3 linked regions of the Rhinolophus ferrumequinum genome follow. The protein of the gene in region 1 purifies or fractionates together with the protein of each later gene. This does not show direct contact. Links are inferred from orthologs where the notes say so. Each region holds a gene or a part of one and is shown on either strand. Other genes may lie near its edges. The genes, in order: CD9, PTGFRN and IGSF8.

What was found.
Region 2: the proteins of CD9 (region 1) and PTGFRN purify together in Homo sapiens (co-immunoprecipitation; 8 studies listed by BioGRID and IntAct, with this or other methods). This does not show direct contact. The link is inferred for Rhinolophus ferrumequinum from reciprocal best matches to the Homo sapiens genes CD9 and PTGFRN.
Region 3: the proteins of CD9 (region 1) and IGSF8 purify together in Homo sapiens (affinity purification with mass spectrometry; 5 studies listed by BioGRID and IntAct, counting the BioPlex papers as one, with this or other methods). This does not show direct contact. The link is inferred for Rhinolophus ferrumequinum from reciprocal best matches to the Homo sapiens genes CD9 and IGSF8.

Annotation. Positions count from the first base shown.
Region 1 is NC_046293.1:23,516,496-23,520,239, reverse strand, and holds the start of CD9 (CD9 antigen), read right to left. Parts: upstream 2,296-3,744; 5' UTR 2,146-2,295; intron 1,839-2,145; 5' UTR 1,727-1,838; coding exon 1,661-1,726; intron 1-1,660. UniProt on the Homo sapiens protein: Integral membrane protein associated with integrins, which regulates different processes, such as sperm-egg fusion, platelet activation and aggregation, and cell adhesion.
Region 2 is NC_046305.1:47,028,199-47,031,942, reverse strand, and holds the start of PTGFRN (prostaglandin F2 receptor negative regulator), read right to left. Parts: upstream 2,826-3,744; 5' UTR 2,487-2,825; coding exon 2,438-2,486; intron 1-2,437. UniProt on the Homo sapiens protein: Inhibits the binding of prostaglandin F2-alpha (PGF2-alpha) to its specific FP receptor, by decreasing the receptor number rather than the affinity constant. Functional coupling with the prostaglandin F2-alpha receptor seems to occur.
Region 3 is NC_046305.1:28,434,381-28,438,124, reverse strand, and holds the start of IGSF8 (immunoglobulin superfamily member 8), read right to left. Parts: upstream 2,465-3,744; 5' UTR 2,450-2,464; coding exon 2,327-2,449; intron 1,625-2,326; coding exon 1,576-1,624; intron 468-1,575; coding exon 90-467; intron 1-89. UniProt on the Homo sapiens protein: Member of the immunoglobulin superfamily (IgSF) that links tetraspanin-enriched microdomains to the actin cytoskeleton and plays several important roles in innate and adaptive immunity.

The sequences.
Region 1 (3,744 bases):
AGGAGGAGAGCTGAGGACTAACCAACAGACTGGCAGGGGAGAGACTGTGCTAGGGAGGGGAGGAAAACTCCCCAAAGGAGAAGAGTGGGGTGGGTTGGGGCGGGCTGCCTTCGACATTCTTTTCTGGTGCTGGGGTTGATGAGAAGAGGAAGCCGAGCCTGGCAGTTATAGGGGCTGGGTGCTGGGAATAGGGGATGGGAGGGGGTGAAGGGTGCCCACCACAGGAGGGTCTCCCCAAAGCAGGCCAAGGGTTGGGCAGGGGCACACCTGTGTGCCAGCCACACTAGCACGTGTTGGGTGTGGTGACTCTTGCAAGGGCAGCTCAGTATCTTACCCTGTCAGCTCTGGAGAAAGGATTAAATTTCAGGAGATTTGCCCCGAGGATTGTGGGGATCCCAGGGACCAGCTCCAAGGGAATCAGTACATTTTTTTTATAAGCCTCCGGTGGCATGCCCGTTTTTACAGCCGTCTCTCTTGCGTGGCACAGGGGCTACCTTTCCAAACTCCTTCCTGACTGCAGAAAGGCAAAGACCGTTCATCTATGTGCAGCGGATGTAGCCCTCAAAACCAGAACACGAAGGTTCCCTATTCCTTGCTTCCGTCTCTGGGTGGTCCCTTAATCCTCCAAGGGAAGGTGTGGAGGAGACACTCCCCTTTTCTGCTGCCTCCCTCAGGGTTCCTATTGCAGAAAGGCTGAGTGCGGCCAGCAGCGGGAGTCCTGGAGGACGGCCAGGTGTCCTCTCCAGGTGAACGCGCGCTTTCGTGGCCACGCCTTGCCACTCGGGGGAGGTGGGGGCGGAAGGGGACGAAGCCAGAGGGCTCTGGGGCCCGCACCTAATCTCTCCCGGAACTGGAGAAATCCCACTAAAAGTGCGCACTTGCATCTGCCCCTCCTCTCCCCAACTCTCCCAGCGTTCTCCCCAGTTCAGATACTTATCGCCCTTGAAAAAAAAATCAAGACAAGCTAGTCTTTCAGGTAGTTTCGAGGGAGCTCGGACATTCTCGTGGCGGCTCAGAATCAGAGTTTGAGAGAATTGAGGGGGCTGAAGGTTCCTCCTTGAGGGTGGAGGGGGGTGGTCCCGCCTCTCACTTAGGGACCGGGACCGGCCATCCGCACTCCTTCCTCTCCAGTGTAAAAGTGCCAACAGCTCCTGGCGGAGCTCTCCCTGAGCCACTAAAGTCCTTTAGGGCGCCCGCACCCTCCCCTCATCGCGGCCCTGCCACTTGTGAGACCTCACCTCGGTCACGAACTGCACTCTCCGCTACCGTCCTGGGCCAGGGCCTCGAGTTCCCGGGAGGGGTGCTCCGTTTCTCCCTAGCGGCTCCACTCCCTCCCTCACCGTACTCGCAGGGGCACACACAGCCCGGCCCACACCCTTAGCGAAGGAGCGGCCTGGAGCGGGTCTCTACGCCCCAGCTCGCTGGGGACCCCGTGTCTTCCTGCCTGCCCGGCTTCGGAGAGCCCCCTACAAACACAGCCGCCCCGCCCGTCTCCGGACCCGGCGGCGCTGCCAGCTGGCGCCCGCCGTGCCCTTTCTCCTCGGCCCGGAGTCTACCCGGCGGGCGGTTTTAGTTACCCGTACCCGCGACCGCGGACAGGGTCCCTGGGGCGGACAGGTGGCCCCGGAGAGAAGCACGCGCGGTTGTCGCGCTCACTCACCCAGAAGATGAAGTTAAAGCCGAAGAGCAGGTATTTGATGCACTTAGTGCCTCCTTTGACCGGCATGGTGCGGGCTGGATTGGCCTGAACTGCACTGGTGTGGGACCGGGGCGCGCGGCGGGGACGGGCAGGACCAGGTTGGGACCGACGTGCGGGTGGCTGCCGCTTGGCCTCCGGGCTGCACTTTTAAAAAAGTGCCACTCGGTACGGAGCCCTGTAGGCTGCAGTGCGCATGTGCCGAGGACCCCGCCCCGGCCCCGCCCCCGGCCCCACCTGCCCCGGCCCCCGCCCGCCGCCCGCCCCCGCCCAGGTTCCCGAGATTCCAGCCCCTGCAGACCCCCATCCGCGCCCTTCCCTCTTTCTCCCATAGTTTCGGGCTCCGTCCGCTCCCCACCGACTTGGCGGTCCCTTTCTTACGCCATCCACCCCCTTTCCTCCCAACCGTCTAGGGGTCTTTCCAGACTGCCACCCCCTGCTGCTTTAACCTGGGCGTTTTGTGGCAGCCTCGCCGTTCTGGTTCTCGCCTGGTCGAGTCCGGGCTTCCTGCCCGAGGCCTCCACTTTGAGAGACCTTCTCCGGGTCAGGTCGTCGGGATATAATCCCCTTACTCAAGGCTGGCTGCCCGCACAATGAGGGCACTTCGTGTTTTGGCTTCGATTTGAAGGGAAGCTGCCTGGCTTTATTTCTTCCTGGGGCGGCTCCGTGCAAACCTTCACTCTTTGAGCACGGTTGTATTTGGCACCTCATGTGGAGTAGCAGGAATTAGAAGCTTGCAGTCCAGGTGGGAAGATAGGTCGGCGGCTTACCGAAATAATTCTAAATGCCCGTCACCAAATAGTAATATGTCTGAGGGTTGGGCAATCCGGGAGCGTTTCCTAGACTTGTGGTTTAGATGCCCCGAGAGGGGAAGATAGTTTGTTGCCCAGCTTCCCTCTTGCCTCTACTGCACACCACCCACCCTCTTGCCTTTTGGACTTCGTCCACTACTCCCTCTTTAATGCTCTGGATACCAAGTTCTGTTCATGTTTTTCATCTGCTCAAAGGTCTCTGTAGCTCCCCACATTCAATGACCTAAGTGGAAATAACTTATCTTGCATCTGTAAGGAACCACTCTGCTCTGCCCAGCACTCCACACATTTGTTGGCCCGGCTTTGCATGTGCCAGTGGTGTGTGCCCTAAGGCTGGTTGGCCCTCCCCTCTTCACTTGCAGAAATTCTGTGGCTCTTGAAACATTTCTTTCCTGATTCTCACCAAAGGATGAGGACGTTTCCCTTCTTCTGTTGTCCCAAAACCCCTCTGCATTTTTTTCAAAATGAAGTGTCCTTTAGTGTTCTTTTTGTTTTTTTATTACAAAAGCAAAACATACTCAATACAGAAACATCAGAATAAGACCAACAAGCAAAAAGAATGTAACTCAAAATTTCACCCATCAGCAGCAACTGGTAGCTCTTATTTAGCTGTTTATTTTCATTGTTAGATTTATCTCCATTCATTCAAAAACATTTTTCACTGTCTACTTATGAGGGTACAGCATTAGGAGCAGGAAGGAGCTGATCCTGTTTTTGCCCTTAGGGAGTTCTGAGTCCACTTGGGGAGGTATGCAGGCAGGCTGGCAAGGGGATTAGAGTGCTGTATATACTATATGTGTGTATATGTGTGTGCGGCAGGGCTAAGGGAGCTCAAAGGAAGGGCCTCTGACCCAGACTTGGAAGCAATGCTGCAGAACCACAGGGAAAGTTACTGCAGTCGTCAGAGAATCTCGGGTGATGCCTGGGGCTGGGGCTGTCTGGGGTCTGGGCTAGAGCTCACAGGGGGGCATGGGGGCAGTATGTGGGGAGGTGAAGGTAGCGACCTAGCTAGGGGTGGGGTGAAGGGAACCTCGCAGCCCCTGACTTTGCATTCTGAAGGATTCTATTGGCTGTGTGATTTAGTTCATTTCTCATCTGTATGTTAGTTGAGTGGGGGAGGGCAGAAGGGGCAGGCAGTTGGCCCCTTAAGGATAAGGACCATTGTTTGTCCAGGCCTTGGCTCAGGGCTTTGAGGAATTAGACTGAAAATTGAGGTGTCGTATCTGGGGACCTGCA
Region 2 (3,744 bases), on another chromosome or scaffold:
AAAGGAGAGCAAACAGGTTACTTAGAATGAAGTGTCTGAATCAAGACAGAAGAGCAGAGGGGAGAGAACACAAGGGGAAGCCTATCTTTCTTAAAAAAAAAAAAAAAAAGTCCTAAAAAAAAAAAAAAAAGAAAAGAAAAAGAAAACCAGCACACAAAGGCAGGACCCCCAAAGCTGATCCTTTAGGAAAATGATGACCTTAGAAGGGAGGCTGGTGGAAAGAGTCAACCAGGAAGATGTCAGAAGTGAACCGTGTGGGGAAGTATCACATCTTGGGCTAGAATAGTAGCTGTAGAAACAGGAAGGACGGGAAAACCGTGGAGTTTGCGCTATGGGAAAAGCCACAGGACTGAGGGACAGAGTGAACATGGAAGTCAAAGAAAGTGACGGCAAGACTATGCCCCGGTTGCAATACGAGAGGAAAGACGATCTTGCTTATCAACATATTACGTTTCAGGAATCAGGACAGTACTAGAGTGGTACAATAGGGAGGCCTCCCCGAAGGTCAGACTGAAGCCATTCGGAGTGAGGTTCTGTGGGGCAGAGTTATCAGGTTCAAGTTCAGGGACCTGCTAGGGGATAAGACATTGGCTGGGGACACCACAGACATTACCCGTGTGTAGTTAACATGAGATGTCCAGCCAGGGCGGGATACACTGGTACATAATGAAGATCTCCCCAAGCTGCGCTTCCTCCACTTGTTTTTGCGTTGCCACTTCTATTTTCTCCCTTTGCCCTTTCTTCTCTCCCTTTTTCTCCCTTATCATAGCTATTCAAGGGCATTTTTTTTTCCAAACGTCTACCTTTACTGATACACAGGTTGTGACCTGCACAACTCTAGGGGGAGTCATTCTCACAGAGACTATGAAGTGAACAGCAGTTCCCAGTTGTGCAGTGCACAGTCTGTGCAACCATTAGCCATGGCCCTGTTTGACCCAAACACATGAGCCCATTAACTATTATGGACTATCACCAGCAGTACGAAACAAACGATCTTACAAGGGTCCCAGAGTGAAAAGAAAAGAATAAAAGCCCTAGGATCCGAGATCACAGAAGAGAGGCTTCAAAACTAAGTGAAAGATCTGGAAGCTTTCTGCAAATGGTCGCAGCTAAAACAATGTGGCTGGATAAGCTCTCTTGGGGAGTGAGTTCCAGAAAACCCCTCGGAGGCGAAGAGAACACAGTAGCAGCAGAAAGCCTGGCCCACCAGCAGCAAGAGGCATGGGGGTTGGGACAGTGGGTGCCCTGGAGCCATCAGGATGGGAGCGGCTGTGGAGGTCCTCCACTGGGACCCTCAGACCGTAAGTGCAGAGTAGTCATTTACCCCGTGTGCAGCTGGGGCCTGGCTGGGACAGACACCCCACGCCATGCACTCTGCAAAAGATTCTGATCTGCCTTCTCCAAAGGCTTGGAAGGAAACCGGTGGTCAGGTAACAGCATTCTTTCTCTTCTGACACAGACCAAAAGGATTCAAGAATATCAAAGCACATAAGGGTCAGCCCTGGGGCACCACGGTGGGCACTTAATAAACAGATGTATTTCTGTGGCTGATTCCCACATAGTTATGTTAATATACCAAGACAACGATATGTATCTGCTTTGAAGATGGTGTCTGTATGCATGGAGTAAAAGGAAAACGAAGAGAAAAAAACCCACCAAAGATTCCTTGGGTTGGGGGAGGGCATTGGGCCAATTTATCAAGAGGCACCGAGGTTTGCGAAGGGTGGAAGACAGGGGACAGGAAAGGCAGAAAAAGTAACAGGTAGGAAAAGTTGGAGAAGCCAAGCCTCGTAGGTCTTTGTGTGTAAATATGGAGCTAGGCAGTTTCCAGAAGAAATAAAGGAAAAGACTCAGGCAGAAGCTCTAACCACAGCCAACATGACAGAAGGACTCGCACACTGATTTCTATTGTAGCGCTCTGGGCCACCTCGTGACCTTCGTAGAAGGAAGTTGGTGGATTGTCTGGCTTCCCAAGAAAGGCAACTCATCCTGGGTTTGTGTGTGAGGAGCGAGTCGGCGGGGCTCGACTACCACCAGGTAGATCAAAGGCGCATATTTCCGCTCCCAAGCTGGGGACACTGATCGGGGACCGCAGGCACCTTCCGGGCCTGCGATCAAGGTGAGCCCGGCTCCGGGCGGCCAACAGGTAGGGAGGGCTGGGGGCAGCGGGTCACGAGCCACTCCCCCCGCACGTGTGGGGGGCGAGGCTCGGCCTGGCGACGCCGGGACAGGTACCCCGCGCGCTGCCGGGCCGGATTCGCTCCCGGAGGCCCCGCGGTCATTCCCCGCCGGGCCGCGCCGCCCGCGTCCCCCGGCCGGGTCTCCCGGGAGTGGCCCCGGCACCCTCGGCGCCCCAGGCCGCGCGCTGCAGCCGCGCCCCGCCGAACCCCCAGGGCCCCACGGTCCCCGCGCCCCGCCAAGCCCCGCGCGCACTCACCCAGCGACAACAGCGCCAGCAGCAGCGGCCTGGGCGCCAGGCGCCCCATGCTCGCCGGGCGGGAGTGACTCTCCGCCTCCTCCTCCTTCCCCGCCGCCTCTCCTCCTCCTCCTCCTCCAGCTCCGGCTGCTCCAGAGTCGGCTCCTCCGCCTGGGCCGCGCGCCTGCTCCGCTCTCGTCGCCAGCCGAGCAATCCCAGCGCTGGGCGGACGTGCGCCCCGCGCTCCCGCCGGTCCGCCTACCTCCTCCCCGCCCTCCTCCGGCCGGCCGGGCCCCGGGAGCCGGGCGCCAGAGCCGCCCCGCTGCGCCGAGCCAGCAGCCCCGGCCGCTTCCCGAAAGCAAAAGGGAAGAACCGCAGCGCCCGCCCGCCCGCGCCTCCCATCGGGCGCTTTGCCAGCAACAAACACAAACTTTCCCAAGCCCCTCCCCGCTCCAGGTAACGGAGCGAGCGCCGGGACCGCCCGCTTAAAGGGGAGGAGGCGGCGGAGCCCACCCAGCTCTCCCCTCGGGCTCCCGCCCCACGACAAACTTTCCTCCGACCTTTAAAAGTTGGCCTTGGAAAGACTCGTCTGGAAATCCCATCGCTTTAGCTCCTTTCTGGGACACCCAGCGTTCCACCGCTCTGGAATCACCCACGCTTGTCTCCTGTTCCCTCGGCTAACTGCCCGCACGTTCACCCCCAGGTCCCAAGCTAAGCACCCCACCAACCAGGCAGCGTGGCCCTTGCGAAAAATTATTCAGATAGGACTGAAAGACATGGAAGCACGTTAAAGGCCATGGATAACATCCTCCTTGTGGTACAGCGGCCTTAAGTGTTTAGGTGACTTGTCCAAGGATTCACAGCGAAGTGGCAAAACCAGGACCCCAATCTCACAGCTCTGCTCACTGCCCTGCGGCTGGGTGGGCCTCACCGTCCCTCGCCCACCTTCTTCCCTCTCCGTGGTGCCTATGGGCTACGAGAACACTTCTCACACACGCCCATGAAAGACAAAACAAAAAAGAAAACACTCAAGTGTATTAATAGCTACAGTACTTTACATGGAATGTCCTTTAAGTGGTCGCAACTGGTGGCCAATAGATCCTTTTTTCCCCCCACAATAGGGTTTTGTGCTTTTGATTTGAATACAAAAGGCCCAGTCTTGGGGGCGGAAATTTTTAGTGTTCATTGTGTAGAACTTCACAAGGATAATTTAAACATACTGGGAGCAGCACTGGGCCCCCTGCCCCCCCACACACACCACAGTCTCACACTAATAGATGCAAAACAAATCACAGATGTTAGTGGGGAAACTGCCTAAGTTGGGGAGA
Region 3 (3,744 bases), on another chromosome or scaffold:
ATCTGAGGGGTGGTTATAGGTCCCTCCTGGCCCTGACTTTCTGCCCTTTTTTTTGGGGGGTGGCCCTGCCCTTTCCTAGGGCCCAGTACCTCTCAGTTCCACCTTGCCGCTGTAGCTGCCCAGGTAGTGGGCATCAGTGGAGGGTGTGTAGCACTCATAAACGCCAGCGTCCTGGGCCTGCAGGCGGGTGATCTTAAGCACCACAGCATCACCCTGCAGATGTTGCACCTGTACCTCACCAGCTGCCACGCGGGGCCCAAAGACAGCATAGGAGAAGTGGCTATCCCTGGTACTGACAATGCCCAGTGCAGCCTCTGGGGCCTCGGGCCTGTACAGGAACCACTCAAAGTCCTGCTGGTCAAGTCCCTCATAGCCAGTGACATTGCAGGAGATGGAGATGGCTGTGCCAGCCACGCGGTACAGTGGCCCCTCGGGGACCAGCACCTCTCGGGCACAGCACCGGACTCCTGTAGGGAAAAAGAGGAGAAGTTGGGGATCCTTGGTCCCCATTGCATCCCCCCACTACCAGCACCATTATTGACCCCTGCCCCTGAAAGGAAAGGAAATCTGGAGAAAGTTGGTATGCAGCTTAGGCAGAGTTCTGAGAATAGGGTAAGGATGCTGGCAGGTAAGACACCTAGGTCCCAAAGAGCTGGTCCAGAGCCAGGTTTACCTCAGAACCCAGAAATATGCCATTTCTGACAGGCCAGAATCAGAAAGAACATCTTTTTCCTGTTGTAACCATTTTCTGATTCCAGCTGTACCTTGATTCCCTCCTCCCAACCTCCAGTCTCATGTCTGTGGTTCCCATTCTGGCCTGGTCAGTGGAGCCTTCTAGCTAAGGGATTCTGAGACCACATATTCCCCTCCTTTGTTTGAGAGGAGCTGGCAAAATCTTGCTCAGAAGGGCTGGTTGGCTTAGCTGTGTCACCTGGGCCAGGGGACTCCAGACAATGGAGCCAGTGGCCCAAGCTGGACAGGACAGAGACAATGTCATTTCTCACCACACAATGCCCTCCTCCCTCCAGCTGTGCCATGAGCTCACTGCTTCCCCTACCCCACAGAACTGCTGAGGCAGCTGAGGCTTATGGGGCAAGAACCAGGCTCTACTCTGGGCTCTGGGGGCAGAAGATCCCTTCCCCCCCAGTGCCTGCCAATCTTCCAGGCTAGCCCAGCTGATGCCCAATTACCCCCCCACACCCCCAACAAAAGCCTTTATTTACATATGGTTCCTTTTCTGTAGGGAACCACAAAATCCCCAGCTGCCCCTTCTCTTCTTTCTCTCCTCCAGACCCCACCCTGCCCCAGCAGATACTCTGGCAGTTTAGAGGGCTCAGCTTCTCTCCTTCCATCCTATCCCCACTAGATAATATCACAGAACCCCAGAATGTAACGAGGGCTGGGACAGAGCCCTGCCTCCATTTTACAGATGAGAAAGGTAAGGCAAGAGAAGTACACTGTCTTGGCTAAGATCCTACTGTCCTTAGATGGTTCCACACATCCCTGCGGAGGGACAAAGCCAGAGAGGCCGATAGGGAGCGCCAAGGCAAGTGAGGCCTGAGGAGATGATCTCACCAAACAGAATGTCACTCCCAGGGGTACCCCGACAGCCTGTCCCCAGGGGCTAGAAGAAAACACCGAGTTTGTGCTCAATTGCTGTCCTCCAGAAGTGCTCCCTCCTCTTGATTCTCCCACCTGAGCCCAGCTCCTTGCCCTTCCTTCTGTGGCTGAGTCATGAGGAGAACTGTGGTCACTTGGTTAGAGCACAGGCTGGAAGTCTGTCCCATTCCTATCTCCAGCTATATGGCCTAAATCCATCCCTTCCTTTCCCAGGCCTCAGTTTCCATACTAAGGAGAGCTAAGAGCTTCCATTCAGATAGTGAGTTAGTGTGACTCAGGAGGGTCCTGCCTGAGAGCACTTCATAATCAGGGTGCTGGCAAAGATGGCTGAGCTGACACCTTCCTCCAGGGCCTCCACCTTCCCCAGCCATCAGGCTGACTCCACTCTGAAGGGCCCCCTCCCACCTTCCTGGCTCCACAACTGCTGATGCTTGGCGATCTCATGGGAAAGTCACCCCCAGTGCCTTAGGAAACCAGCTGCCTGGCAGTTCTCTCTCCAGCCAGGTCCGCTCCTCTGTGTTAGCAGAGAGGGAAGGGAGAGAAGAGAGACTTGCTTTGTAGTCAGACAGATCTGGGTTCAAATCCTAACCCCAACACTTACGAGATGAATTCTCTGGGCAAGTTACACCATTTTCCTCATCTTTGAAATAAATATAAGTGCCCCCCGATTTCGGCAGGCTCTTCCATCTCTGTGCATCACACTTACCCATCTCCCGTGGGCTCCTCTCTGCTCCACACTGCCCAGTGGGGAAAACAGGCCAAATGCTAGGCAACTGGTCCCTCTGACATCCTTCTGCCTCCCGCCCAAGGCCCCAAGGAGAGGACTCATTCTAGTTCCACAGGGCCTAGGGACCTGTTCAGCAGAGGGAGACTCTGCTGGTGCCGTTGTAGAACTCTGGTCTAGAAAAGGGAGCTGGGGCTACATCAGCCTAAGCCTAGACTATAGCAGCTACAAATCCTGGCAGCCAGGCTACCCCCACCTTCACCCTCGTCCCCCACGCCATGCTCTTATTTTAAGGGCTTCAGTCTCCTGATCATCTGTACAGGCAGTCACCCTGTCTTGATGCCACACTCCTCCCCAGACCATCTCCTATAGGAAGCCCTCCAGTTTATGCCAAAATCAATCCCATAGTCACTGCCCTCATGCATCCATGCAACAGTGGCCCAGGACACCCCACCATGAACACCCACCATGACAGAAACAGGGTGTTTGGAAATCCCAGCTCAGTCTCCATGGAGCCTGGTTTCTCCCCAGGCAGGGAAGCTGGGACTAAGGTGGTGTGACAAATGGTGGGAAGCTACCCTGTTTCCCTGAAAATAAGACTGGGTCTTATATTAATTTTTGCTCCAAAAGACGCATTAGGGCTTATGTTCAGGGGATGTCTTCCTGAAAAATCATGCTAGGGCTAATTTTGCGGTTAGGTCTTATTTTCGGGGAAATAGGGTACAGAGCCAAGTGCCATCTGGAAGAGGGCAGGTGGGGCAAAGAGGGACCCAGCCCAGGTCAGAGATGAGGGGTGAGAGAGGGAACAGCGCCCAACCTCAGATGAGGGGTGTGTGTGTGTGTGTGTGTGTGTGTGTGTGTGTGTATGTGTGTGGGGGGGTGCAATCCGGGGAGACTTACTTCAAAGATCATGAGCAGAACCGGCAACCGGGCCTCCAGCCAACTCCGGCAATTATGAAGGCCCGCAGGCACTGCCCACGCAGGGCGGGCACCCCAGGCTGGGCCTGAAGCTGAGTGTGAGGCAGAGAGGAGCCACAGCATTTGGGCGCAGCGACCTTAGGATGTAGGTGTGCTTGCTGAGAAATGGGGTCTAGCCCTCCCGGAGGCCTGGCAGTCCCTGGCAGATGGGTGCTCACTGCCCCAGCCTGGGGCCTACAGCTGAAGGGACTTCACCCCCCTCCCCCCAGGCTGGCTGGGTGATCTGGAGGCGCCGCTGACGGAGAAGGAGGTGCGAAGGGCTCCGAAATGCTAGGGAAGATGGCCCGGCTAAGCGCCTGGTGGCAGGCACCTGCCGGGCAAGGTTGAAGGCTAGGGCAGGGGCCGGGCTTACCTAGCATTAGCAGCAGCAGCAGCGGCGGTGGCGGCGTGGGACCGAGGGCACCCATCCTGCGCGGCCGACT